4 linked regions of the Macaca fascicularis genome follow. The protein of the gene in region 4 interacts with the protein of the main gene of each other region in a pairwise test. Links are inferred from orthologs where the notes say so. Each region holds a gene or a part of one and is shown on either strand. Other genes may lie near its edges.

Region 1 (6,889 bases), on a different chromosome or scaffold from region 4:
AGAAGCAGCCTGTCACAGGTGCTGGGTCTCCCTCTGCCTCCCTGCACCCCCTCTCCTCCCCAGCTTGGGGCATCAAACCTGCCTTAGCCACAGGGGTGGGGAGGGGCCGGGGCTGTTGCTGAAGCTGGCTCCTTGTCCCCAGGTGGAGTGCAACTCCAAACTGGACCCGACCATCACGACCTTCCTGAAGGTGAGGCTTTCTTCCCCAGCCCTAGGCCAGCTTCCCTAGCATGGGCCCAACCTCAGGGAGGGGCTTGCCTGGGGTCCCAGCCAGGTGGGAGCTTGTCCTGGAGTGAGGGCCCTGCTCAAGTCACCCCACTCTCTCCCTTGCAGATGGCAGACTCCGGAGGGCTGCCCCAGGTCACACAGGTGAGACTTTTGGCCCTCCTGCCCTTCCATCTATGGGGTGGGGGAAGCCTCTACCCTCCCTGCTAATCCTAGGCAGCCAATGAAAGCATGTGCTTGTCCTGCCCTCCGCAGCCAGGGAAGCTGACTGAAGCCTTCAAATACTTCCTGCAAGGCATGGGCTACAGTGAGTACATTTCCACCCCACCACACCTAGAGACCAGTGGGCAGTCAGTGCTGGGGTGGGGGGTCCTGTTTGCAGGGCTGGCACGTGGTGTCAGGGGGTACTGGGGAGCCCACAGGCATAGTTTTGTGTGACCTGGGCCCCGGATGCTGGGCCCCACAGATGCCACCTGAGTTGCAAGTTGCACATCCCAGGCTGTGCCCAGCTCCCCTTTGCCCTTAGGGAGGACTTGGCACACTGTTCTGATGGCAGTGATGGGCATACTGGGGGAAGGGACCCTTCTCTCTGTGCTGAGGGTCCAGGTCCAAGGGCCACGTCCTGCCAGGGAAGCCTGTCTGGGGGTGAGGCACACTCCCCTCATCTGCCCCAGGGCTTGGGGTCAGAGTTGGGCCTACGGCACCTGAGAAGGCCTTTTGAAACAACTGGTGGCTGCACCCAGGGCGTCATAGGAGTGGGCTTGGAGCCTGGGGCCAGGGAAGGCAATTGGGGCGGCCTGGGCATTCAGAGAGCTGAAAGCAGCTGAACCTGAGTTGGCAGATCTGAAAATCTGGGTCTGGGGTAGAACCAGGTACACATACACAGACACACACACCCCTTGGGTGTCTCCTCAACTTCCCCTTCCCTCTAAGACATACCTGTTTCCAGCTCCCCACTACCAGGTGGCAAACTTCCTCTTCTCAGTTTGTTTTTTATTGCCCTCCAGACTTTAGCCTCTGGAGCTGGTATCTCCAGGGCAAACAGGGGGCGGCCTGTGGGAAGGCTGGGGAGGACACCCAGGAATACAGTGCTCTCTGGAGCAGGGCAGAGCCCTAGGGCCCGCAGGGGGGCTCTGCAGGAGCGCAGAGGCTGGGATCAGGGCACAGCAAGCATTTGTGAGGTGAATGGAGGAAGCTTGTCAGGCGCTGAGATGCGTTCTCAGGGTCCTGGGGAGAAACTCCACCAGGCAGCCCCGAGCTGGGAGAGGCACAGAGGGGCAGGCCTCCCCAGTTCTGTACGCAGGAGACTGAGGCCCAGCAGAATGGTGAGGGGATAAGCACCCCACCGGCTGTCAGGGCTTCCTTGGGTCAGAGATCCTTCTGGGGACCACTGCTGGGTGGGCTTCCAGAGCCTCTGACCCTGCCCCCAGCCTCTCTGTGCCTGTCCTTTGTCCCATCTCTCCGGCTCATCTCAATGCTCTGGCCTCAGTGGACCACGCTGTTCACTGTGTTGTGTCTCCCCCACCCCGCCCCCTGTCTGGCTCTGTCTTCTCTCTTAGTTGCGTACTTGAAGGACCGAAGGCTGAGTGGAGGAGCAGGTAGCCCCACAGCCCTTCCCCTGATGCATGGACACCTAGCCTCCCCCTCCCCCGCTCCTGCTGCAGCCAGGCCGCATCTTGCTGTGGTTTGGAACCTTCTTGTGTCCTGTTCCACTCAGAAAGCCCACAGATTCTTGTGTTTCTGCAGACTTGGCCTCTAGGTTGGCTGGGCTGCAGAGCAGTCTTGCTTCTAGGTTGTCATGAGCTTCGTAGCTTCCAGAGCTCTGGGGATTGGAAACAGACCCTCCTTAGAGGTAGAGCCCAGGTCTGGCCCTGCCTGAGCCAGAGGTGGCCAGGAGCGTTCAGGAGGGTAGAGTTTGCTGCCCGCAAGTCTTGCTTGTGAAACTCCAAACAAGGGCAGAGTCTGAATTGAGGGTGACCACTGCTCCGTGTCCTCCTTTACAGAAGCAGTCCTACTTCTCCACCGGCATCCTCGAGGGAGGCACGGCTGGAAACCCAGCACCTCCCTGCACCAGCTGCTCAGGGCTGCCTGGTCAGCTGCTTGAGAGGGCCCTGCTGGCCACAGCCCCCTAGGCCCACTCACTGTCGCTGGCCCTGCATGCCCCCGGCCCGACAGCTGTCGCCAGCCTCCTGGCTCGGGAGGGGCCCTTTGTGCCTTCGAGAAACGGTTCGCTAGCCGCTTTGCTTGCAGCCTACTTTTCCCACCAGAGGCGCCTGGCCCTGCCCGCCAGTCCTCAGGCCCACCCTGTCTCTGTCCACAGTGCCCTCAGCCAGCATGACCCGCCTGGCACGCTCCCGCACTGCATCCCTCACCAGTGCCAGCTCGGTGGATGGCAGCCGCCCACAGGCCTGCACCCACTCGGAGAGCAGCGAGGGGCTGGGCCAGGTCAACCACACCATGGAGGTGTCCTGTTGAAGCCCTCGATCCCGCTGACGACGCCCACCTGTCCGCCCACGTCGAGGCCCCACCGCCATCCTTGCGCCGGCTCATGTTCCCTTTAGTTTATTTTTGTGAGGGCAAAGGGGAGGAAATGGGGTTCTGTTTGAAAAAAATGAGGGGATCTCTCTTAGATCCTTCAGCGGAACAGTCTCCAGGTGTTTTGAGGGGCTCACTCCTCCCCACCCCATCTCACTCTCCGTGGTAACTTGGCCGACTTGACCCCTCTCATCTCACTCCCTGTGGCCCAGGCACAGGAGGGCAGGGCCATAGGGAGGGAGATTCTCTAAGGATCCAGGCCATTCCTGGGTGAGCCCTTGGGCAGGCAGGTTTGCAGATGGGAGAGGCTTCGAGAGGGTGGTTACTGGGCCCACAGGGGTGCAGGGCCAGCTCAGGCACTGGAGTGGGAGCCCTGGGAGACCCCTTCCCCCACTCTCCACCAAGCACACCCGTTTCTGTCTCATAGCACATGTGACAATCATCTGGACAATAGCCACAAGGGGGCGGTCGGACCAGGCAGCCACTTTCCTGGTGCTCTCTGGGCCCAGCTGGTGCTGTAGGGCCAGGCAGGCAGGGGCGTCGGGGTTTCTCTGCCCAAGGAAGACAGAACATGGAGAACCGTGAGGGCAGGAACCCCACAGACTGTCCCTTCCAGCCCACACTCTGCCACCTCCTGGCCCTCTCCCATTTCTGAGCCAAGGCCTCCCCGAGGCAGAAGTTGCCTGGTCGTCTGTCCCCACAGTGACCTGACTGGGGGTGAGGGAGAAGGAAGAGAGAGCCCATGTGTGGCGTGTGTGCCCTGAGAACATCGTGGTGACTGCCTTTGGGAGCCCGCAGGTGGCCAGAGGCAGGGGTAGCTGAGTTCCTGGAGACCCCTTTTTTGCCCCCAGGTTCCCCAGAGGGCAATGCCATCAGTAGCAGTGTGGTGTTTCAGGCAGAGCTCTGGCCAGGCTGTGCCAGCGTGTCCTGGAAGCATCACTAAGGAAGAGAGAGTTTATTCAGTCAACTGGCCCAAGGCAGCGAGACTTCTACCCCATAGCCCCCTGGGCTGGGGCTTACTGGGGGCTGATGATTCTGGACACGAACAAGAGCCAGGTAGAGGAGAAAGGCTTCTCCCACACCCCAGCCCCCTGCTGTCCCCTGAAGCCCAGGACTGTGTTGTATGCTTTCCATCCACCCACCTTACCCTATAGCATCTTGCGGCCCAGAAACCAGAGCCATTTGTCTCAGACCCTAAATCAATGGTCACAAACCTCAAAACAGAGAGGGGAGAGAGCAATGAAAACATGAAGGGCTGTGGAGGGGGAGGGTTGTGGCAGGTGTTCTGAGGCTGAGAGGACACCTATATGCGTATTTCCTCTATACACATCACCCCCCTTCTGTAATCTTAAGCCATGACTAGCCTGGTGATGTGTTAGTTTGTGCCGAGTTCTACCCCCTCATGTGCTGCTTCTGAATACTGAATGTGACTGGTTGAAAGCTGGTAGAATTCATCCCTCTTACTGTAGATAGCACTGCAAATCGTGGAATTTTTTTTTTGTTTTTTGCTGTGTTTCCAGATGAAATATCTATAAATATCTATACATTATATATATAGATGTGTGTGTGTGTGTGTGTGTGTGTACATTGGGTCCTCCCATGTGTGGTGGTCCTCCGGAGGCTGTCTCTTTGGTCAAGGTGAACTTTTAATGTTTATTATTTTCTTCTCCGCACAAAGAGCCTAATTCTGTGTATTCTGGTGGCTGCTGTCATGAGATGACAAAATGTAAAACAAAACTCTAGTCAACGTAGAAAGAGTTAACTGTGCTGAAAAACTAATAAAGAACCTAAGAATTCCAGTGTGGTGATGCCATGCCCATCGTGGGAAGCTTTTGGAGTGACAGAATGTTTGGGCAGGGGCTGCTGGTGCTGCTTGGTTTGGGGTGAGGGTGCTAGGAGAGGATGGTCTCCACCCATCTTTCTATTTCCAGTACATGTCACATTATTTTACCAGTGAGAGGAGAGTGTGACAAACATTAAAAGCCTTATGTGCTAATTTCTGCTTAAACCCCTGACTCTGGGACAAAATACAGCTCTCCTCAGCCAGGCGCGGTTGCTCAAGCCTGTAATCCCAGCACTTTGGGAGGCTGAGGCGGGCAGATCACTTGAGGCCAGCAGTTAAAGACCAGCCTGGGCAACATGGTGAAACCCTGTCTCTACTAAAAATACAAAAATTAGCCAGGCGTGGTGGCAGGCGCCTGTAATCCCAGCTACTCGGGAGGCTGAAGCAGAAGAATCTCTTGAACACGGGAGGCAGAGGTGGTAGTGAGCGGAGATCATGCCACTGCACTCCAGCCTGGGGGACAGAGTGAGACTCTGTCTCAAAATAAAAAACAAAATACAGCTTTCCAGAAAAAAAAAGCCTTAAAAACAAAACACCCCTGCCCTCCAAATCTCTTGCCTGAGTCACTACATTCCTTCAAAGATAAATGACCTGTTCTTTGCCTTCTCCTAAACATACGATCATGTCTGACAGGGTTAATGATTATACTTCTGCAATCTATAACCAGATATACTTATCCCTAAACTTTGATATGATTTTACACATACTAAATCTTCAACTACATATAACCTAAACTAAAATACCCTGTTACAGCAGCCTCACAAGATTACTCCTGGGCTACAGGCCTCAGTCTATAGTCCTCAGTAAGGCTTCTAAATAAAACTAATTTTAATTATTTAAAAACTTAATATTTTTTCTTTAGTCAACATACCAGTCCTTACATTAATCCTACAGGGTAGGTATTATCTTAGTTTCACAGGTGAGGAGACTAAGCTTCAGGAAAAAGGATCTGCCTTAATAATAGACCAGGCCGGGCGCGATGGCTCACGCCTGTAATCCTAGCACTTTGGGAAGCCGAGGCGGGCGGATTGCCTGAGCTCAGGAGTTCGAGACCAGCCTGGGCAACGCGGTGAAACCCCGACCCTACTAAAAATAAATACAAAAAATGAGCTGGGCGTGGCAGCCTACGCCTGTAGTCCTGTAGTCCCAGCTACTCGGGAGGCTAAGACAGAATTGCTTGAACCCGGGAGGTGGAGGTTGCAGTGAGCCGAGACTGCACCACGCACTCCAGCCTGGGCGACAGATCGAGACTCCGTCTCCCCACCTCCCCAAAAAAGAGAAAAAAAAAAAAACACTGAGTGTTGAGCTCCGGCGTTGCTTGGTTTCAAAACCCATTCCTGTAACCTCGTTTATTTATTCACAGCCTCGTTTTCTTAAAAACAGCATGCTACTTCCCCAGGTTTAACCACCATTTGTTTTATTCATTTATTTACCCAATAGGTAGATATTGAGTCCTTACTATGTCAGCTAATAAAACCCACCACGTGCTATGCAGTAGATTAAAAAACGAGGATGTACTGGCAAATAAGGGCAGACAGGATCTATTCTAGATCCAGGAGCCCTCTAGGCCACGCTATTCCGAAACACACACGAAAACTGCTCTGAACGCATACCACCAGTAAAACGATTCCATGGCCATCGGTAACAAGGAGTCGAGATCAGGAGGTCGCTGGCCGCCCAGATGCGTCGCTCACCACCGGCCGGCCGCCAGACCCTCGGCTTCCGATCCAGAAACCGTATTTTGTTCCTACACCCAGACCGCAAGAAGCCTCAGCCCTCGGGGACAGACCAAAGGCCAGGGTTGTACCTGGCTCAGAACCAGGCTCCAAGCGGCACGGGACGCTCCTTCTGCACTCTGACCGCGTGAGTGCAATTGGAGATCCTGGACTCAAGATGTTTTCAGTAGGAACGATTCCAGCCAGCGCTAACACCGGCCGGTCTGCAGCGTGGACGCCAAAACAGGCACCACGTGGTTCTGGCGCCGGGGCGGGGCCAGAGACGCCGGAAGTGGCCGCGCGCTCCACGGGCCCACCGGGCGGCGCGCTTTCAGACCATGGCGACCCAGACGAAGCGCCCACGGGTGAGTGGCGGGTGCGGGGTCCAGCCTTCTCCTTCGCGCCTCACCCCTCCTCCGCCCGCAGGGCCATGCGCCTGCGCCCCCTCCGCTCCCTCCCGCGGGTCCCGCGCCCCTCTCCGCTCGTCCCCACCTCCACCCAAAGCCCGTTCTGCGCGCGCGCGTCGCGGTCTCCTGCCGTTCCCAGCGGGCTCTCTGGGGCCGGGCCTGGT
Region 2 (7,220 bases), on a different chromosome or scaffold from region 4:
CCAAAAGTTTTACAGATAATACTCAGATCTATTATGAGTAATGCACTGTGACTTTTGACGAACCCATTAAATTGATTTTGCACATTTGGGAAACAGGCCAAGATCACTTAAGAGGCACTGCAGTACTAAGAGCTTTAAGAAAACTTAAATGCTGAGGCCAGGCATGGTGGCTCACGTCTGTAATCCTAGCACTTTGGGAAGCCGAGGCAGGCACATCACTTGAGGTCAGGAGTTTGAGACCAGCCTGGCCAACATGACGAAACCCCGTCTCTACTAAAAATACAAAAATTAGCGAGGCAGGAGGGAGCGCACCTGTAGTGCAAGCTACTCAGGAGGCTGAGGCATGAGAATCACTTAAGCCCTGGAGGTGGAGGTTGCAGTGAGCCGAGATTGTGCCATTGCACTCCAGCCTGGGCAAAAGAGTGAGGCTCCATCTCAAAAGAAAACAAGAAAAGAAAAAAAAGGAACAGAAAGGGAAAGAGAAGGAGAAAAGGTAATTAATTGAGAGAACATCTTTTTAATACTGCAGAGAGCAGTTACAAGGTGGTTAGTACATGGTTACGTGCACTAGACTCTATACTTGGTGGTGAGCTATTCATTTATTTTTTCATTTTAATCTGAGCTCCAGAATCTTATTTAAAATTTAGATTAAAAAAAAATGCCAGGCGCGGTGGCTCATTCCTGTAGTAATCCCAGCACTTTGGGAGGCTGAAGTGGGCAGGTCAGGAGTTCAAGACCAGCCTGGTTAACATGGTGAAGCCCCATCTCCACTAAATATACAAAAAGTAGTTGGGCACGGTGGCAGGTTCCTGTAATCCCAGCTACTCGGGAGGCAGAGGCAGGAGAATCGCTTGAACCCGGGAAGTGGAGGCTGCAGCGAGCTGAGATCATGCCATTGCACTCTAGTCTGAGTGACAGAGCAAGACTCCCTCTCAAAAAAATAAAAAGCGAAACTACTCTTAATGTCTCTTTCATGGCCCCTGGTAGATCTACTTCCAATTCACTCATGTGCCTGCAAAATACAGGTGGCTCATTGTAAACATTTCAGTCATACAGGAAGGAGAGGACCGACGAACCAAAAGGCAAATCAGAATTCTGCAAGTAAAATTCCAACGTCTAGATTTACTCCTAACAGAAATCCTGAGCCCAGAAAGTCAGAGAAGGATTTTTAACATCCCAAACACGTCAGACTCTCACTGGAGAGAAAACTGAGGCCAAATGGTGTGAGTATATGAAGCCCTGTTTATAAATAGTTCAGTATCCAACAGAAGTGTTCTCGTTAGCAACTGGGAAGCCAGTTGTCCCAGAGAAAAAATCTTCACGGGTAACGCTGTGGTCAGCAAGGAATCCATCATATGCTTAAGTCTGGCTTCAAGAGATGTAGTAGCTGAATAATTTCATTAAGACACAAACCAACACTTCTTAGAAGGCCACCTCGCCTAGATGGACATAACAGAATATAAGATAAATAGCCACTTTTGGTTTCAGATTGGTAAAATTCCTCTTTGCAGTCCAAGCAGGCAGGTATAAAGCCCTTTCATTAATTGAATGTGAACCAGTGTTTGCAAGAGACTCTCAAGTCCCCATCAAACAGCGGCAGAACAAAAGAGCCTTTTAATTTGATATGTAAGTCCATACTTTGAACAGTAAAATGGAATATCCAATGAATGCTTCGTACTCCAGGCAACTGACATGAAAGTTTCGCGTAATACATGTTTTTACTGATCCTGAAATAGGGCTCTTGTTTTGAAGACTTTGCATGTGTAATTAATAATAGCTTGAGATCATGTATATGCCACCATCTGAGCCAAACTGCTAAATATGCATGGCCCCAAAACTACACAATCAAGATCTGGAAAGCAGCAATTTTTCAAGACTGTAATTTAGGGTTTAAATGACAATGTAAGCCACACCAAGATGACATTATTTCCTTGCATCTAGCAAAATGAAGCTGTATCATCAGGTAGCAAAGGAGGGGGGAAGGCGGCATCCATACTCCTGACATGTTACAATACCCTCCTTTTAGCATCTCACAAAGCATGTTTTGTTCAGAGAATGAATGAGGACAGCTCTCTTCTGTGCATTTTATTAAAACTTGAAAGCTATGGCTTGCCGCCATCAACGACGCCTATTGGGTTCCAAAAGCCTCATGTTCAAATCTGACTCGTTAGCAAATCCACCCAAATCAACATCGCTCATCTAGACATTGCAGGATATTCAGCAAGTCTGACGTTTTTAATCGGGAAGGATTTTCTACCGTTACTGAGCAAATAAAGGTTCTTTGTAGCAATGGCTGGAAACGCAACACGAGCCCTTTCTTCACACCAAAAGAACTCATAAATAGTTCACCGGGTGAACCAAAGACTTTATTTTTCAAAAGCAGGTAACACCAAAGTACTATGTGGTATCCGTATTCATTGCAAAAATGATAATTACTGGAATTTTCCAAACATCAAATGAAGTAAGGGGGATCCATGGTTACCACTATCATTTTCAACCAATATACAGATGTTCGCTCAAGGTCTAGGTTTTATTTTTACATAGTAGTATTCACATGAGTTCCCTAAGCTGAATTATTGTCAAATCGAGGACTCTTGAAGGTCGAGCCCAGCTTTGTCTTGACTTCAAAGATGACACAGCAGCCAACCTAGAATCCTGGCTTGCTGCTTGAGTCCTGGAAATCATGTCTTCTGATGTTTTACAACAAGCCATGTCTCTGAAAACTAAAATCAGACTTCAGATTCCTCTGAAACAGCTCTGGTTCCCAAGTGTTCCGCACCATGGTACCCAGACATGCTCAAAATGTGCTTTCCCTTATCTTCCAAAACCCACCACCAGGAACCCAAAAGGGACCCCACTTTGGGAGTTCCATGATGAAGGTGTTTAAGAACCACATGAACCCCAAGTAAAGGCAGCGGATGAAATTATCCATTTCTTTTCCTTTTCTTTTTTTAAGTGAGACTACACTGGCAAATGGGAAAATGACACCGATCATATGATTAGAGAAAATGGTTTTATAAATCCTCCTCTTGAAATTATGTTCAGGCCCCACACGGTAGCTCATGCCTGCAATCCCAGCACTTCGGGAGGCCAAAGCAGAAGGATCTCTTGAGCCCAGGAGTTTGAGACCAGCCTGGGCAACACAGTAAGACCCCGTCTCTGTTTTTTTTTTTTTTTTAAAAGAAAGAAATTCTGTTCAAAAGCATTTCAGACCAAAAGGAGGTCATAAAAACTGTTCATATAATTACCCTATGAGAAAAAAATCCCTGTATGGAAAGGGGCACTGATGATCTGGCACAGAGAAACAAGGGGACACAGGGCAGTGATAAAATCCAGCCCTGGTATTCTAGGATGCATTTATGACCTCATGGATATGTCTGTACTGCGTGTTAATAGCCCCTCTTTTTACTTAAAAAAAAAAAAAAATTAGGAAATTAAAGTGAATCTGTGTGCTAATGAAGTCTGAAGTTACAGATTCTAAAAGCCAAGTCTGTAAAGTCTATAAGGCAAGATCTTTATCATCAGGGATGGGAACAGATGGATAAGATAATGGTAGGCACTAAAGGCTGGTTCAGCTGAGCTCTGAGCAGAACAGCCTCAAAAATAAGGCAACTGTGGCTTCTCAGTTTGAGACTGCCACCAGAAAGGCCCACGGAGGCAGGAAAAAAGAGCCACTGATGGCAGATCACTGGAAGATACTCGGAGAGGGCAATGATCACAGTTAGATGGGAGGACTCAGGGTCACAGGGAGGCAGGAAACCGTTGAACTGACACTCAAGGGGAATGTCTTTGCAAGTCCTATGCACGACTCCAAGCAGCAATTTTTGGGGTTTGGAGGTTTGTTAGTTTTGCGACATTTCCCCCCAGAAGAAGACATGAAGGTGGGCCCCCTGGAGAGGTGAGACCACCAGGGCAGAACCTCCACCAGGTGTGAAGCTTGATGAGAGGTGGAAAGGACTTCCTGCGGCACCCGGCTCCCTCCATGTCTGGCTGAGTCCTACAAACGCTTGTAGGTGCCCAGGAGAGCTCTGCAGTTGGGACAGTAATGGTCCACGTCCTGCAGGGCGTCCACGCAGAAGGGGATGAAGCAGCAGCCCGCTACGCACCTGGGAGGGGAGAGAGACACGTGGAGCACGTTACTGACCACAATAGGATGGACACTGGCTGCCAAAAACATGTTCATGTCCTTCTTTGTAAAAAGGGTCTTTGCCAGTATAATTAGGAATTTTGAGATGGGATCATCTTGGATTATCCAGGTGGACCCCCAAAACCCAATGACCTTAGAAGAAGAGGAGAGGACACACAGAGATTCAGAGAGGGCAGAAGGGCATGTGAAGACAGAGGCAGAGGCTGGAACGATGAGGCCATAAGCCAAGGAACACCTGGAGCTACCAGAAGCTGGAGGAGGCAAAAAAACATTCTGCCCTGAAGCCTTAGGAGGGAGCGTGGCCCTGCTGACATTTGGGGTTTTTTTTTTTTTTGGTTTGTTTGTTTATTTGTTTGTTTTGAGACGGAGTCTTGCTCTGTTGCCCAGGGTTCAAGCAATTCTCCCTCCCCCTGGGTTCAAGCAATTCTCCTCGCCTCAGCCTCCTGAGTAGCTGGGACTGCAGGCGCATGCCACCACGCCCAGCTAAGTTATATATTTTTAGGAGAGATGAGGTTTCACCATGTTGGCCAGGCTGGTCTCAAACTCCTGACCTCAAGTGATCCACCTGCCTTGGCCTCCCCAAGTGCTGGGATTACAGGCGAGAGCCACCACACCCGGCTCCTGCTGACATTTTGATTTTGCACTTCTGGCCCCTAGAATTGTGAGAGTCAATATCTGTTGTTTTAAACACTAGGTGTGTTGTAATTCGTGATGGCACCCCTAGGAAATTAACATGCCAGCCAACGCCAAGGTTCCTCCTAAGGACAGACCCCCTTTGAGCATGATTTTCAAATCTTGAGTCATTTGGGAATCTTTCAAAGTCTTAGATGGGCTTGGTGAACTTTTTTTTGCAAAGGGCCAGATAGTAGATCTTTTAGTCTTTTTCTTGCTGTTCTTTGTTTGTTTTTGTACAGATGGGGTCTTGCTATGTTGCGCAGGCTAGTCTTGAACTGCTGGCCTCAAGTGATCCTTCCACCTCCGCCTCCCAAAGTGCTGAGATTACAAGTGGAAGCCACCACACACCCGGCCAGATACTTTCATCCTGATGAGCCATGGAGTCTCTGTTGCCACTACTCAACTCTGCCCTTGCAACGAGAAGACAGCCACAGAGAATCCAAAAACCAATAGGCGTGGCTATGTTCCTGTGAAACTGCAAACAGGTGCCTGGCTCCAGGGCCGTTTTGCCAACCCCTGTCTTACTGATCTCTTTCCCATATACACAGGCTGCTTCTTACAGCAACCAAGTAGAATTCCCCAAATAACAACTCTTAACCTACATAATCCACCATTGGCACACACAGGAAGGAACGTCAGACAGCCTGACAACCAATGTTTGTCAAAAACGTGGTTAAAACTCAGCCTTTTACGGGAAGATGCTGGTTTACATAAGGCAAAATTTGGAAACATTCTGATGAGGAAATTATCTCATGAAAGAAATTTCCTCCTATTGCCTAAGCTTTCCAGAGCTCAAATAAGAGCAGTCAGTCCGTTCAGCAGGAGTCCTAACCTATGGCTTACAGGTGCAGGCACGGCTCCAGGCAGCACACACATATATTTTATCCTCGGCAGCCCCTGAGGTGGGCCTTATTGCCCCGCCCCCCCGTCTATAGATGAGGAACCGAAGCACAGAGAGGTAAAGTCATTTGCCCATGGCCACACAGCTAGTGAGAGGCAGGATTTGAACCCACTCTACCATGTTTAAGGAAGGAACAAAGGGAGGGAAACAAAGGCTGCCTCAATTTGTAAAGCCAGATTGGCAGAGGCCAATACTCAGTGTAAGTTTCTATTCCTCTATAATTCCAGCACTTTGGGAGGTCAAGGCGGGAGGATTGCTTGGGTCCAGGAGTTTAAGACCAGCCTGGGCAGCATAGTAAAACACCCGCTTCCACACACACACACACACAAAAAATTTTTAACTAGCTGGGTATGGTGGCACACACCTGTGGTCCCAGATACTCAGGAGGCTGAAGTGGGAGGATTGCATGAGCCCAGGAGGTCAAAGCTGCAGAGAGCTACGATCGTACCACTGCACTCCTGCCTGGGCAACACAGCAAGACTCAGTCTCACACAAAACAAAACAAGGAAGTTTCTATTCTGTCCTTTCCCTGATTTCAAAGATAAAAATTTGTTTTAATACAAATATCCAGAGGCAATGGACTCTTTTTTTTTTTTTTTTTTTTTTTTTTTTAGCATTTTCTGCCCATGGAATGAAAACAACAGCAGAGTCCTGTGGGCAAGAGGGGGAATCAGGTGCCCAGAAAGCTGTTTTGTCTCCTTCCTTCCTTATTTAACACATGACCTCGAGGAAGTTAACTACACTCTCCGGGACTCTGAGCCTCTTACTGAAGTTAGGAAGAGAAATATTGTTCCTTTTCAACCTCAAGTCACCAAAGGACAATGTGGAGGAATGTGTTGGTTGCATGAGGCTCCTGAAAGTCACAAACATCGGTTCCTTCAAGGAAAAGAATGGAGCCCCTTGGGGTTTTCTGAGTGGCTCACGTGGCCAGGAATAAGGAAGCTACTTTTACCTGCTTGGTGGGAAACAAAAAATTGATTGTGTTTCCTCAGATTTTTCTCCCAGAACAGAAACTATTATCTCTTTAAACATAATACCCTGGGTGCAGACATAAATATTTACATAATTCCCGCGCATGGGCAACGGGAAAAATACTTTGGGTCATAAAAGGATAAGAAGTTTTGAAGCGATTCCTATGAAGAATTTTAATGCACAGATTGTTTAAAGCTTCCCTCGGGCTCCAGCAAACATTATTATTTAGGTCATGAAATTCTAGAAGAAAAGGAACCCCTGAGGGTATTGCCCTACACACAGCTGGAAGCAGCTGTGAAGCTTGTCCCCACGCGCAGATAAGCAAGAAGAAAAGACGGAAGACCAATTTCTGGGGACTGATAGAGCAGTAGGGATGACTTGGCCTCCCAGGGGGTATTTTTGGTCAGAAGTGGGGAGCGTAGTGCTCCTGGCATCAAGCGAGTGGGGGCCAAGGATGCTATTCAATATCCTACAATGCACAGGACACCCCCTACAATCAAGAAATGTCTTGGGCCAGGCATGGTG
Region 3 (7,220 bases), on a different chromosome or scaffold from region 4:
AAATGGTCTAAAAGTTTTCTGAATCCATCACAGAACTCAAGATGGTCCCAATAAACTGGATACTGCAACTGAAATAGTAACAATAATTTTATTTTAAAAATCATAAAAGTAAAAATGCAACTCATGTATTTGAAAAACTTAGGACTCAAACAGTGGCATTTCTCGTTTGCTCAAGCGCTGCTCCTTATTCAAAATATGTAAAAATAAGCTCTCACTTTTTACGAAACTTCATAATTCACATTTTATCTAACAGACCAAATTAAAAGAGTATAAAAAGTAAGCACATTCTAATGATATTATGTGAGTAACAATTTCAATTCCCATCAATTTCCTTTCTAAACAGCTGAAAAAGTCTGGGGTTTAAGGATGAATATACCAGAACCCATCCCAGTAAAGAAATATGGTTTTCTCTTAAATCTAATTTCATTCAGAATTATAGCTCAGGAGAGATGGAAACAAAATTTGTTCTAAGGAGAGCTCCCTCTCTTTTTGGTAGCATTTCTTTAAGGGGGTATTCAGTAAAGTTGTTCCTCTTCTTTTAAATGACTTAGTTACTCTATTTCATTTATTGTACTTTGGGGTGTTTGTTTCTTGAGACAGTCTCCTCTGTTGCCCAGGCTGGAGGGCAGTGGCGCGATCTCGACTCATTCCACCTCTGCCTCCCGGGTTTGAGTGATTCTCCTACCTCAGCCTCCTGAGTAGCTGAGATTACAGATGTCCACCACCATACCCAGCTGATTTTTGTATTTTTAGTACAGACACAGTTTTGCCATGTTGGCCAAGCTAGTCTCAAACTCCTGACCTCAAGTGATCCACCTGCCTTGGCCTCCCAAAGTGTTAGAATTACAGGCACGAGCCACTACACCCAGCTTGTTTTTGAGATAGGGTCTCTCTCTCTCACCCAGGCTGGAGTGCATTGGCACAATTGTAAGCTCACTGCAGCCACAACCTCCTGGGCGCAAGCGATGCTCCCACCTCAGCCCCCCAGTAGCTGGAATCACAGGCATGCACCACCATGCCTGGCTAATTTTTATATATATATTTTTTGTAGAAATGGGGTTTTGCCATGTTGCCCAGGCTGGTCTTGAACTCCTGGGCTCAAGCGATTTGCCTGCCTCAAGCGATTTGACTGCCTCAGCTTCCCAAAGTGCTGGGATTACGGGTGTGAGCCAACAGAAGTACCATGCCAGGCTATTGTACTTCTGTTTGTGAAAAAGAAGTATGGTACTTGACTATATGTAGCCTGTCTATTAATGCTGGCAATGATGAGGAAAAAGAAGTACAAGTCACAAACTCATTTCTAAGGGACTCAGGTTTGTCCCCTAAGAATTCCTTTTTTTGTTGTTTGAGATGGAGTCTCACTCTGTCACCCATGCTGGAGTGCAGTGGTACGATCTCAGCTCACTGCAACCTCTGCCTCCTGGGTTCAAGCGATTCTCCTGCCTCAGTCTCTCAAGTAGCTGGGACTACAGGCGTGTGCCACCATGCCCAACTAATTTTCTTTCTTTTTTGCATTTTTAGTAGAGACGGGGGGTTTCACTGTGTTAGCCAGGATGGTCTCGATCTCCTGACCTCGTGATCCACCCACCTCGGCCTCCCGAAGTGTTGGGATTACAGGCGTAAGCCACCGTGCCTGGTCAAGAATTCCTTTTTTATGTACATATAAAACCCACTGGCTGGGCGCAGTGGCTCATGCTTGTAATCCCACCGCTTTGGGAGGCTGAGGCAGGGGAATCACTTGAGGTCAGGAGTTTGAGACCAGCCTGGGGAACATGGTGAAACCCCATCTCTACCAAAAAAATACAAAAATTATCCAGGCATGGTGGCAGGCAGCTGTAATCCCAGCTACTGGGGAAGCTGAGGCATGAGAATTGCTTGAGCCTGGGAGGTGGAGGTTGCATGAGCTGAGATCATACTACTGCACTCTAGCTGGAGCGACAGAGCGAGTCTCCATCACCAAAAAACAAAAACAAAAACAAAAACAAATCCCAAAAAACCTCGTCTAACAGGCTTATTGTTTAAGCACTTAGGTTCATTTTGTTACTGATGAATCACTGGAATGGATACTGCCAAATGAATTATGGGATCATTTTAGATTTGATGTATGACTTTTATTATTAAAATTCTATTTGTGGGTAAAACTTCCACCATGCCAAGAAAGAATGGGGAACCGATTCTCCCTAGCAGAAAGTTTGAGAATTTGAGTCAGATGATAGCCTAAAAGAAAGGGGATGATATTTTCATGGAGTCTTTAATTTATAAATATCTGTGCCCACACAGGTGACAAAATTATACACAACTTAATACATACAAACAAATGTGTTCAAGCAGAACTGGAGAAACCTGAATGAGATTGGTAGATTGTAGTAATATCAATATCCTGGTTGTGATATTGTACTACAGTTTTGCAAAGGTTTGGCGGAAACTGAGGAAATGTGTAAAAAGGATATTTCTCTGAACTATTTTTTACACTGCATGTGAATCTACAATTACAACAAAAAAAAATTTAAAAAGGTCTGTGCATTATAACTGCTAGATACTAACAAATATCAAATAAATTCCACAACCTCATGGAGCTGAACATTCTGATCAAGACGCTGTTGACCTTTTCTTGATTAACTATCCTCCTAACGAAACAGGGAAAGCCCACATCGAGAACCTTGAGGGCAAAGAAGAAACATCCAGCCAGAAGCCAAGGCTCTCATGATCTGCCACTGTGGAGCGAGAAACGCTGTTGGACAGCACTCCCAAGTGGGACGGGCACCTGCAGGCTGCTTGGCTCCCCCTCCCTGGCTGATCAACAGGGGCCACCAAAAATGGTAGTGTCATGTCTCAGGCTGCAGAGGGCTTGGATGAGGGCAGTTCCTACCCTGTTCTAGAATGCTGTTTGTGAAGAGGAATGACTGAAAGTCTGAACAAAGGAGGATTATGTTGCAGAGGCTCAAACATGTCATGTGACGAATGGTTAAAGAAGCTGGAGAAATTAAGCCAGAGAAGAAAAGACCCAGGAGAAAAGCAGCAGGTGGTGGTGATGATAACTGTTTTCTCAAGTAAGAGATGGGCTCTCAGGAGGAAGAGGAACTGATTTCTTTTGTGTGGCCTCAGTTGGTGGTAACCTCAGTAGAACTTTCAGTTACCTTCCAAGAGAAGACATGTGACATGCTTTTTCACCCCTTCAACAGTAAATAACACACACACTAACAGCAGCACTCCCACCGGGAGTACCACTTACAAGTGAATACTGCAGGCGACTGCCAGCTAAAAAGGCTGTCTCCTTCCTGGGAAATTAGGAGACCAACGTCCTGACCAACCTGTGTCGTTACAGTGGAAGCATGCAAAAAAAAAAAAAAAGAAAAAAGAAAAATCAGTCACCAGGAAGAGTGCCTTTCCCACACACTTTTCTCCCAGAGAAGACTCAAGAATGATCAGTGGGAAACTGGATTTAGACCAAACTCGGCTATAAAGTACTAATCATAAACAAAAAACTTCCTAACCAAATGCTAACATATGAGCTAATTAATGAATCTCACCTCAAATATCAAAGATTTACACGAAAAGCCAGCTTTTCAGTCACTTGTGTGTTAGCTAATCCCTTTGTTGTCTAATATTCCATGCTCAGCAACCCTGGAAGCAGTGCTGTGATAAAACGAGGAGCAGAAACAGAGCCAGGAGACAGAGCTCAGTTCCTCCCTCCACCACTTACTGGCTGTGTGAGCCAGACCTCAGTTTCTTCATCTGTAAACAAGGACAACACTTCCAACCACTCCGAGTTGAGAGAAGGGCGTCAGGAGAGAATGCACGTAAACGCTGGGCATGGAGAGGCTGCCAATAGAGGTTTGTTCCTTCTGAATCTCTGTGTGACTGTGGACTCACACCAGCCTCCTTCAAAAGGCTTCATCTCACATATTAAAATAGGCAAACAATATCTTTCCTCAATTAAAAAAAACTGCCCGGCCGGGCGCAGTGGCTCATGGCTGGAATCTCAGCACTTTGTAAGGCTGAGGCAGGTGAATCATGAGGTCAGGAGTTCGAGACCAGCCTGGCCAACATGGCGAAACCCCGTCTCTACTAAAAATACAAAAAATTAGCTGGGCATAGTGGCGGGCACCTGTAATCCCAGCTACTCAGGAGGCTGAGGCAGGAGAATTGCTTGAACCTGGGAGACGGAGGTTGCAGTGAGCTGAGATCACGCCACTGCACTCCAGCCCTAGGTGACAGAGTGAGACTCCGTCTCAACAAACAAACAAACAAACAAACTGTGCCTATTACTATAGCTGATCAGAGACAGAAGCACACACACACACACACACACACACACACACACACAAACCCACAAAACGTCGGTCTACATTTTAATACTGAATCAGTAATACTTACAGCGATAACCCGGTAACCCCATCCAGTCAGAGCCAAAATCTGCCGGAAAAAGACATCTGCAGTTCCACTGACAGGGGGCAGGAATATGAGAGGACACCTGATACTTCGGGGGCCTGCATCATAGAGCGACCATATCTTACTGTCATCATCATCTACGATAATCTGGAGGGAAATTTAAAAGAAAAAAGTGGAAAATCTTATAAATTCACTTTTTATGTTATTTTACACTATCATTTCACTGACAATTTTAACACTACTGCCTTGTTTGTTACAAGGTAACCTGAAGCTCACACCAGATTAGCATGCATGACAGACTCCTCTAGTCTCCTTTTCTTTCCTCAGGGCTAACATATTCCACAGAACTACTTAGAACTACTTTATAATCTTCCAGAGGGCTGCTGCTTCTCTGTTTCTTCCCCCCCACCCTTTTTCTTTTTTTGAGACAGAGTCTCGCTCTGTCGCCCAGGTTAGAGTGCAGCAGCGTGATCTCGGCTCACCGCAACCTCCACCTCCCAGGTTCAAGCGATTCTTGTGCCTTAGCCTCCAATGTAGTTGGGATTATAGGCATGTGCCACCACACCCAGCTAATTTTTGTATTTCTATTAGAGACAGGGTTTTGCCACGTTGGCCAGGATGGTCTCGAACTTCTGACCTCAGGTGATCTGCCTGCATCAGCCTCCCAAAGTGCTAAGATTACCGGCATGAGCCACCACACCTGGCTGCTTCTCTCAGTTTCTACCTTTCCCGTCCATCCACAACAATAGGAAGAAATCTATTTTGCTTAACATTAAACAGTGAACTCTATACAAGACATCTTATTTCTTCCCACATTTCTGGTTGTGTGTGTGTTTAAGAATGTGTCTGTACAAGGAGGGCAGTCTGCAGTCATTCTGCAGTGCTGACCCAGAGGACTGGCTGGGATGTGCAGGGTCAGAGTATGAACAGGGGAGCTGATGGGGAGACAAGGCTCCTAGCTCGTGTCTCTATCCACCTGGATAGGTGGGTAGAGATAGCACCAGCTCAGGAGATGCTTCAGGAGCCTCTCTAAACCAAGCCTTTGGGGAGTTGTGGGGGAGACTCTGCTACAGAAGGGGAACGAGGCAGGTCTATGTGTCACTCTCCTGGGAGAATACATCAAACCAGTAGGGGTTAGGGAGTGGCACAGAGAGAAACTGGCTTTTTGGTGAAAAGTGGGTAGGAAGGAGGAAGGTAATCAGAAACCTTCCTGATGGAGTGGTTCTTGACCCAACATGACGGGGAAATAATGAGCACTGGAAGAGCTGAGGGGGCCGGGCATGGTGGCTCACGCCTATAATCTTAGCACTTTGGGAGGTCAAGGCAGGTAGATTACCTGAGGTCAGGAGTTTGCGACCAGCCTGGCCAACATGGTGAAACCTTGTCTCTACTAAAAATATAGACATTAGCTGGGTATGGTGGCACATGCCTTTAATCCCAGCTACTGGGGAAGCTGAGGCAAAAGAATTGCTTGAAACTGGGAGGCGGAGGTTGCAGTGAGCTGAGATCGGGCTCCAGCCTGGACAACAGAGCAAGACTCTGTCTTAAAAAAAAAAAAAAAAAGGAAGAAAGAAAACAATGTGCTGAGGGCCAGGCGTGATGGCTCACGCCTGTAATCTCAGTGTTTTGGGAGGCAAAAGGCAGGACTGCTTGAGGCCAGGAGTTTGAGACCAACCTGGGCAACATAGTGAGATCCCCATCTCTACAAAAAATGAAAAAATTAACCAGGTGCGATGGTACACACCTATAGTCCCAGCTACTTGAGAGGCTGAGACACAACAATCGCTTGAGCCCAGGAGTTCAAGGCTGCATTGAGCTATATGATCGCACAACACTCCAGCCCAAGCACCAGAGGGAGATCCTGTCTCTCTCTCTTTTTTTCTTTTTTTTTTTTTTGAGATGGAGTCTCACTCTGTAGCCCAGGCTGGAGTGCAGCGGCACGATCTCGGCTCACTGCAACCTCTGCCTCCCAGGTTCAAGCAATTCTCCTGCCTCAGCCTCCCAAGTAGCTGAGATTACAGGCACGTGCTCCCATGCCCAGCTAATTTTTTGTACTTTTAGTTGAGATGGGGTTTCACCATATTGGTTAGGCTGGTCTTGAACTCCTGACCTCATGATCCACCTGCCTTGGCCTCCCAAAGTGCTGGGATTACAGGCATGAGCCACTGCACCCAGCCCAGATCCTGTCTCTTTAAAATAAATAAATAAATAAATAAATAAATAAAAATACAACAACACTCCAGCCTGAGCAACAGAGGGAGAGATCCTCTCTCTTTAAAAAAAAAAGAAAAAGGAGGCCGGGCGCGGTGGCTCAAGCCTGTAATCCCAGCACTTTGGGAGGCCGAGACGGGTGGATCATGAGGTCAGGAGATCGAGACCATCCTGGCTAACACGGTGAAACCCCATCTCTACTAAAAATACAAAAAAAAAATTAGCCGGGCGCGGTGGCGGGCGCCTCTAGTCCCAGCTACTCGGGAGGCTGAGGCGGGAGAATGGCGTGAACCCGGGAGGCGGAGCTTGCAGTGAGCCGAGATCGCGCCACTGCACTCCAGCCTGGGCGACAGAGCGAGACTCCGTCTCAAAAAAAAAAAAAAAAAAAAAAAAAAACAAAGACAAAGGAAAGAAAAAAAGGCAAGCTGAGGCAAGTCAAGTGCTCAGCAGAGTCTGGCAAATGTTAAGTGTCCTAGAAGTATTAGTTATTATTATTCACTGCATCCTAGTTTAATTTTTGTTTTCTCTGACTTTTGGTGGTATTTAGAAAAGTACATTAACTGCTTGAACATTTGACAATGCAAATCAGTATTTGTTCTACTTTTATATTAAAAAAC
Region 4 (7,902 bases):
CAGCCCCACCCCGCGCCACTCCCCAGCCCCACCCGGGCCCTCTCTCTGCTCCCTGGAGTGGACCATCCGTATTGGCTCAGCACCCCCTGAGCCCCAGAGTCTGGGGCCCTAGCACCACCCAGCAGTGACGGGGGGGCTCCCGAGTCCTCCTTCCCTGGTCTGCGGGCCCAGCTCTCCGCCAGCATCACCCCCTTCCCTCTCTGTCCCCCAATGGTGCCGCTGGGGGACCCTGGGTACCTCCAATTCGGGCGTTGAAAGCGACCCCCACACCACAGAAGCCATTGTCGGCCATCGCGGCCACCTCCCCAGCACAGCGGGTCCCGTGCCTGGTGCCAGGGCCAAGAAGGGCTCCCGTCACGGCCTCCATCCCCCTGCCAGGTACTGGGGCTTCCCCCATGTGCTGTGGGAGCCCTGCTCACCGGTTCTCGTCGCTGGGGGTGTAGCGGGGCTGGGGGTCTGGGTCGTAGTCATTAAAGTCGTAGCTGGCCAGGGGGTCCTGGGGACAGGTGGGGATACGAGGGGGCTGGGAGGCGTCCTTGGGTGGAGCCGGTCTCGGCACCTGGGGCAGCCCTCGCCCCCAGCCACCCGCGGTCTCACGTAGTTGGCCCAGAGGTCTGGGTGGTCCTTCTCGATGCCATCGTCCAGCACAGAGACCACAATGCCCTGGCCTGACAGCCCCTGGCCCCAGGCCTGCAGGACACTCAGGTCTGGTTGGGCCTCGCTGTTCTGCAGGGGGAGGCAGGGTGGTGACCCTGTGAGGGCCTGGGGTCGAGGGCGCTAGTGGCCCTGTCCCCACCCACCCACCCTGGCTGCCCGCTCACCATGTACCACTGCTTGGAGAACCAGGGGTCTGTGGGCACCACCACAGAGCGTTTCACCCGCCGCCGTAGCGTCTGCTGCTGGAACCACTGCACCTACAGAGCAGAAGGTGGGTCAGGCCTGTCCGCTGCTCGCTCCTGGGGCCCCTCGTGGTTCAGGGAGTGAGGCAGCCCCATGCCCTGGGGCCCCGTGTTTGTGGGGGCTGCTCTCCAGCGTCCGCATGTACCTGGGGCTCTGTCTGCAGTCAGAGGGGACCGAGGCTTTTGGACCACCTGTCCTTGGGTCCACAGACGCATCGTCGCTGTCCCGGGTGACTGCAGGTCCCCAGGTCCCCACTCCACTCCTTCCCCCATCCCTGTTCTAGATCCTTCTCTCTCCTGCATCACTTCCTTTTTTTTTTTTTTTTTTTGAGACAGAGTCTTGCTCTGTCGCCCAGGCTGGAGTGCAGTGGTGCAATCTTGGCTCACTGCAACCTCTGCCTCCCGGGTTCAAGCGATTCTCCTACCTCAGCCTCCCAAGTAGCTGGGACTACAGGCGCACACCACCATGCCCAGTTAATTTTTGTATTTTTAGTAGAGACGGGGTTTCGCCATGTTGGTCAGGCTGGTCTCAAACTCCTGAGCTCAAATAATCTGCCTGCCTTGGCCTCCTGAAGTGCCGGGATTACAGGCATGAATCACCACACCAGGCCTGGCTTCTCTCTTGCAAACCACATCAGGAACCGGCCACTGCTTTCCCTCCCAGTGCTATAAGCAGGCAGCTGTCCAGTCCTGTTCAAGGCACTTCCTGGCCTCTGAGGGCTTCCAAGGCTCCATCTCAACCCCTCAGCTTGACATCTCAGGCATTTTCTAGACAGGGCCCAGCCCGATCGGACCCAGGCCCCTTTCTGAGCACCCGGACACTGCGTCCTGAGGGCCACTGGGTGACTTTAAGGCTCCTACTCTTTGGAACCCATTCCTGTGTTGTAAAATCCCCTTCCCTCCATCCTATGACCTAGACGGTGGGGAAGGCATTCCATCTGTTCCTCCTTACCAGAGCCCCTGGGACCCAGAGGAGGGAGGGGAAGGGCAAGAGGTGACCACTGTGTACCAGGCCCTGGCAGGCGCCATGATTTCCGTATCTGGGTCTCCCTCCCTCCTCCTGCTGTACAGACTTGTGGTCCAGGTGGGTCTGAGCCACAGAAAGCACACAGCTGTTCATAACAACCACGAGAACCACAGAAGATGGCTAGTGGCCCCAGGAGGCGGCTGAGACCCTGAGAGGGTGGCCTCCAGGCCAGGCTCACCTTGGGGTCTTTCTTCAGGTGCAGGCGGTGGCCCCAGTGCGGGGTCAGGGACTGCTGGACCACGCCCCGGTGCCGCAGGTGAAAGTACTGCCCATCAGGGAAGATCTGGGGATGTGGGGAAGCGGCCGCACCGATAGGACCAGGCTCCCCTGCTGGAGCCCCCGAGGACCGGTAACAGCCCCCTTTCTTGTCCTTCCCCACCAGGTGCTCTCTGGGAGTCCCAGAAGCTGAACTTGGCTGAGGCAGGGGTGGGCTGAGGCTCTTGATATTTAGGAGACCTTGTGGGCTCCCTCCCACTTGTCGGGGTCTAGGGTCCTCTAGTCCCTTCCACGCCCCCACTTCCCGTCCATCCCGGTCCCACCCACCGGCCCCAGGTTGACGAAGCCGAATTTGCGTGCCAGGCGCTCGACCTCCCGGTTACCCTGAGACACCCGGACGGCCCAGCTGCTGACATAGATGGGGGCTCGGACCGAGGCCCACCCCACAGCCCGGGGGCGGACGAGGGCCAGGGCCAAGACCCGGAGCAGCCACAGCGCAATCGGGGCGGGCCGCATGGAGGCGGGGCGGGGCCGGGGGCGGGGCCTGCGCAAAGCCCCTCCCTCCCGCCAAACCGCCGAGTGGACCCAGGCGTCCTCTCAGCCCCCGGCTCCATAGCAACGCGGAAGGCTTCGACTCCCAGGGGGCCTTGCGGCTACTCAGCCAAGACGGGCGCGAAGATCTGACAGAAGCGGGGCAGGGACGCACGCCTGCCCGTCTCCCGCAGACCCACACCTTCGGGAGCCTCAGTTTTCCCATTTGTACAACGACAAGACTAACCCAGAGAAGCGGGTTCACTGTTGCAGTAACGCGTCCTACCCTTTCTTTGGCCTCGCCCACTTTCCAACACACCCCTCCTTCGAGAATCAGCCCGGCCTCCTATCCGGGCTAATCAGAATCATTCTTTCGAGTAATCCCGCCTCCCCCGATAAGCCCCGCCCCGTTCCCGCCCCTACCATTCCAACCTGCCTCCTTTGTGATCAGCCCCGCCCTCCACTGCTCTCGCCAATGAATCGCGTCCCGTTTCTCCAATCGGCTCGGATTTTTCTTTAGCCCCACCCACCGGCTCCGCCCCCACCCGCGCCTCTCATCGCCCTGGCTCCACCCCCTCAGTGTCGCAGCCAATAATCCCGTCCCCTGACGCCGCCCTTCCAATCAGCTACGTCTCGCTCTGGCCCGGCCAATCGGTGCCCTGGGCCGGCGCGCCCCGCCCTCTCCCGGCGGGGTCTGGGCAGCGGCGGCAGCGGGCGGAGGGCTATGCGGCGGGGGAGACGGGGCAGGCCCCACCTCCTTTGTCCGCCCTGCCCTCCCATTGGTCCGGGCGGGGGGCCGGGGGCGGACACCGGCGCCGGGCCGGAGCAGCGCGGCTCAGGCTGCGGGAAAGCGGCGCGCGTGCAGCGGAGTGGGTGCGCGGGTCCGCGGGCGAGCTCGAGCAGCCAACCCCGGGCGCGTCGGGGCCATGGACGGCCTGAGCCAGCGCGTGGAGCGCTTCCTGGAGCAAAGGAACCTGGTCACCGACGTGCTGGGGGCGCTGGAGGCCAAGACCGGGCTGGAGAAGCGGTATCTGGCTGCAGGTGAGCCGTCGGCGCTAGCCCGTTTCGCCAACGGGCACACTGAGGCCATGGGCCCGGGGGTCGCAGGTCTGACTCCCTCCCCGGCTACGGGGTCCGGTCCTGCTCGTAGAGCGCGCGGGGTGACCGGGACTTCGAGGTCCACCCGCAACTCCTCCCTTGCCCGCGCCCTGCGACCCTGCTCCCGAGCCACCCCTCTCTAGCTTCCATCCCTGGCCGTCCCCCGCCGCCTCCTTCTGGGCGCTGGGTGCCTGCCATGCCGAAGTCCGGTTCTTCCAGTTGCCCAGTGGCCCCGGAGAGGCCAGGATGCCAGTGTCCTGCACGTTTCGCCGTCCCCCTCCCCCCGTGGACCCCGACCTGGCTGCAACAGTGGAGATCTTCCCGTTTTTCCGAGGGGAGGCTCCAGGCGGGGAGGGGAACGGACCGTCCCGGGGGGCTGCTCAGGACTCTCCTCTCCTCCTCCTCTCCTGCCCTAGCTCACCTTGCCCCGCTCAATGGCTTAGTGCCACCGCGCGTAAATATTTGTTAAGACGGAGTTGGGTTGTCTGACAGCTGTGATGTGGGGAGGTTGGACTGGGGCCCACAGAGCGGGAGATCCAGGCACCCCGATTGTGACTCCATTACAGTTCTTCCGGGCCTTTCACCCTTGGTGACGCCGCGCCCCTTCGCCTTTCCAAAACTACAGCAAGAGCATGTAGTAAGCGCTCCTTAAATGCCTCTCTCCCCACCTTTAAAACTTTTTTTTTGAGATCGAGTCTTGCCCTGCCGCACAGGCTGGAGTGCAGTGGTGCAATCTCAGCTCACTGCAACCTCTGCCTCCTGGGTTCAAGCGATTCTCCTGCCTCAGCCTCCTGCGCAGCGGGGATTACAGACGCAGGTCACCATGCCCGGCTAATTTTTGTATTTTTAGTAGAGACGGGGTTTCACTATGTTGGCCAGGCTGGTCTCGAACTCCTGGCCTCAGGTGATCCGCCCACCTCAGCCTCCCAAAGTGCTGGGATTACAGGTGTGAGCCACCTTGCCTGGCCTAAAACTTTTTAAAGTTAACTTTTTTAAGAGACAGGGTCTCACTATGTTACCCAGACTGGTCTCAAACTCCTGGGCTCAAGCGATCCTTCTGCCTCAGCCTCCCAAAGCTCTGGGATTTACGTGGGAGCCACTGCTCCCAGCCCCACTGGCTCTGCCTTCTCTTCCAGGAAGCTCCGCAGAATGACTTGAAAGGACTTGATCTGGGCCTGGGGTGTTCTGGGTAGAGGACAGTGCCACTTTTTTGAGCACCTTCTGCAGGTGGATCCCCGGAGTCCAGTCCCCCCCTCCATTTTCCCACCATCTGGGGGTTCCCATGCCAGGCAGCCTGAGAACAGTCTGAAATCTGTGTCCAGACCCTGGAGGTCCCCAGGTGCCTGGTCCCATGTGCAGTGCAGCAGGTGGCATGGGCATGGCCTGGCTGTGCCTGCCCCCGGGAGCAGGTCCCTGGCCTCTGCCCTCCCTTTCCACATCCCTGGGGCCAGTGGGCAGGAATTTAGGTCACAGAGCGCCCAGGAGGCAGGCAGCAGGGAGGGGCTGGCTGGGGCACTGTGTCACCAGAGAGGAAACTGAGGCACAGTTTCCTCTGCGCCTGTTGTGTCTGAGGCGTACACCCCTCCACCCCGCCCACTCCCAGTCCCATCTGCTGCTAATCGTGGGGGCTGGGCCCCCCTCCACAGTTCTGATGTCCAAGGTCATCCTCCCGTTGCTGAAGCTGCAGGAACAGGGATTTAAGGGAGGGACACCCTGGGAGAGTCACTCCTCCCCACAAGCCAGGCCTGGGGAGAGGTAGCATTCCCTCATCCCCCTTCTCCCACCTCATTTAAATCGACAAATCCCACACCCCTGGGTAACATACGAAGAAACTCAGAGGAGACAGTGACCGGGAGGCCACACAGCCTCCCAGCTGGGGGACTCCGCCTACCCGTGACCTCAGGTGCTTGTGGATAAAGACTAAAGCAGGTAGGAGGGGCTGGGAGGGACTTGGGCCTCTGCCCTTTGGTCCGGAAGCAGCCTCTATCTCACTCTGCAGATAGCAGCTCCAGGGGAGGAGGAAGGAGGCTGTCCAAGCTCTCTGAAGCACGGGGGTTCCCTGTGTGACCTTGGGCAACACCCACCCACCCCCAGTTCTGAATAAGATAATTCAGGGAAAGCACAAAACCTGGCACACAATAGGCGCTTAATAAATGCAGCTGTCGTCATCATTCTTTTCAGAGCCAGGTTCAGGATTGGGGCTGAGCTGGACACACACACCTTTTTCTCTGAACACCCTCCTTGCTGGGACTGTGTTATTGTTGCCTGAAGGCACTTAATAAATGTGGAGAAGGGCAGGTCGCGGCGGCTCACGCCTGGAATCCCAGCACTTTGGGAGACCGAGGCGGGCGGATCACCTGAGGTCAGGAATTTGAGACCAGCCTGGCCAACATGGTGAAACCCCGTCTCTACTAAAAATACAAAATTCAGCTGGGTGTGGTGGCACGCTCAGCTACTCAGGAGGTTGAGGCAGGAGAATCGCTTGAGTCCGGGAGGCGGAGCTTGTAGTGACCTGAGATTGTGTCGCTACACTCCAGCCTGGACGACAGAGCAAGGCTCCGTCTCAAAAATAAATAAATGAATAAAAATAAACGCGCAGAAAGGAGTTCTCTCTGTTAACTTGTTATTACTTTTTTTTTGCAACAGAGTTTCGCTCTTGTTGCCCAGGCTGGAGTGCAATGGCATGTTCTCGGCTCATCACAACCTCTGCCTCCTGGGTTCAAGCAATTCTCCTGCCTCAACCTCCTGAGTACCTGGGATTACAGGCATGCGCCACCACTCCCGGCTAATTTTGTATTTTTAGTAGGGATGGGGTTTCTCCATGTTGGTCAGGTTGGTCTCGAAATCCTGACCTCAGGCGATCCACCCACCTCAACCTCCCAGAGTGCTGGGATTATAGGCATGAACCACTGTGCCCAGCCCTCTCTGTTAACTTGAAACCATAAGAGGCAGGGGCCATTACCATTCCCACTTACCAAGGGGGAAACTGAGGCTCCGTGCAGCCACAGCCTTGCTCAGTGCCGGCTGGTGAGTGCACAGCCAACCAAAGGGCTCTCCTCCACCCGGGGGACCGAGATGCTGGGGTTTGCTGCCTCCAAGACGGGGGGGGGGTAGTACTGCCCCCCACCCTGCCCCAGGGACACTGGGTGATGTCTAGGGATATCTGTGGTCGTCATGACTGGGGAGCTGATGGCATGGAGAGGGCAGAGGCCAGGGACGCTGCTCAGCACCCTGCAGTGTCCAGGACAGCCACCTCCCCTCCCCGCCGAAAACAACCAAGAATGACCCAGCCCCGAACATCAGCAGTGCCAAGGCAGAGAAACCCTGCACTAAGATAACGGATGAAACAGTTGCGTTTCTCAGCTCTGGAACCAAGTCTTCATGACAGCCTGGCCTCCCTTGCAGGCTTCACCCATCCCTTATGTTGAAACATTAGCCTCGTTTCCCAGCGCCTCCCATAGGGCCTGGAACGAGATGCCTATCATTGCAGATTATGCTCATTCTTTTTTTTTTTTTTTTTTGAAAAAGAATCTCACCCAGGCTGGAGTGCACTGGCGCAAGCTCTGCTCACTGCAACCACCGCTTCCTGGGTTCAAGCGATTCTCCCGCCTCAGCCTCTCAAGTAGCTGGGATTACAGGCGCCCGCCACCAAGTCTGGCTAATTTTTGTGTTTTTAGTAGAGATGGGGTTTCACCATGTTGGCCAGGCTAGTCTCGAACCCCTGAACTCAGGTGGTCTGCCTGCCCGGTCCGCCCACCTCGGCCTCCCAAAGTGCTGGGATTACAGGCGTGAGCCACCACATCTGGCCAGATTACACTTACTCACTCAGCAAACACTTTATTGGATAGCTATTCTGCACCCACCCCCACTGCCCAGTGTCAAGCTCCTGCCTGCCCTTGGGGAGCTCTCAACCATGGTGGGGGACATGGACACATTGACCAGTTACAGGCACAAGGCTCGGGGCCTAGGGACACGATGGGGGGATGCACAGACACTTTGGGGGCAGTGGACACATCCTAGAGGCATCACCAAGGCTTCTGAGGAGGTTGCAGTCTCTGTCGACTGAAAGGAGGCCTGGGTGCTGTCATGGGGACTCAGCAGGTCCCTGGCCCTAGCACACCACCACCTCTC

What was found.
Region 1: the proteins of REEP6 (region 4) and NDRG4 interact in binary tests that used the Homo sapiens proteins (3 or more experiments, as listed by UniProt). The two-hybrid records come from large-scale screens. The link is inferred for Macaca fascicularis from reciprocal best matches to the Homo sapiens genes REEP6 and NDRG4.
Region 2: the proteins of REEP6 (region 4) and LITAF interact in binary tests that used the Homo sapiens proteins (3 or more experiments, as listed by UniProt). The two-hybrid records come from large-scale screens. The link is inferred for Macaca fascicularis from reciprocal best matches to the Homo sapiens genes REEP6 and LITAF.
Region 3: the proteins of REEP6 (region 4) and SPG21 interact in binary tests that used the Homo sapiens proteins (3 or more experiments, as listed by UniProt). The two-hybrid records come from large-scale screens. The link is inferred for Macaca fascicularis from reciprocal best matches to the Homo sapiens genes REEP6 and SPG21.

What each region holds. Positions count from the first base shown.
Region 1 is NC_088394.1:54,613,142-54,620,030, forward strand, and holds the end of NDRG4 (protein NDRG4), read left to right. Parts: intron 1-142; coding exon 143-190; intron 191-333; coding exon 334-369; intron 370-480; coding exon 481-532; intron 533-1,784; coding exon 1,785-1,823; intron 1,824-2,228; coding exon of another isoform or gene 2,229-2,329; exon of another isoform or gene 2,330-2,545; coding exon 2,546-2,700; 3' UTR 2,701-4,559; downstream 4,560-6,889. Other genes in the region: N-lysine methyltransferase SETD6, read left to right, coding at 6,497-6,889. UniProt on the Homo sapiens protein: Contributes to the maintenance of intracerebral BDNF levels within the normal range, which is necessary for the preservation of spatial learning and the resistance to neuronal cell death caused by ischemic stress.
Region 2 is NC_088394.1:12,232,805-12,240,024, forward strand, and holds the end of LITAF (lipopolysaccharide-induced tumor necrosis factor-alpha factor), read right to left. Parts: intron 4,107-7,220; coding exon 3,998-4,106; 3' UTR 2,345-3,997; downstream 1-2,344.
Region 3 is NC_088381.1:41,565,851-41,573,070, forward strand, and holds part of SPG21 (maspardin), read right to left. Parts: intron 4,540-7,220; coding exon 4,378-4,539; intron 69-4,377; coding exon 1-68. UniProt on the Homo sapiens protein: May play a role as a negative regulatory factor in CD4-dependent T-cell activation.
Region 4 is NC_088393.1:2,084,101-2,092,002, forward strand, and holds the start of REEP6 (receptor expression-enhancing protein 6), read left to right. Parts: upstream 1-3,517; 5' UTR 3,518-3,599; coding exon 3,600-3,714; intron 3,715-7,902. Other genes in the region: PCSK4 (proprotein convertase subtilisin/kexin type 4), read right to left, coding at 420-726, 822-914, 2,105-2,209, 2,470-2,658. UniProt on the Homo sapiens protein: Required for correct function and survival of retinal photoreceptors. Required for retinal development.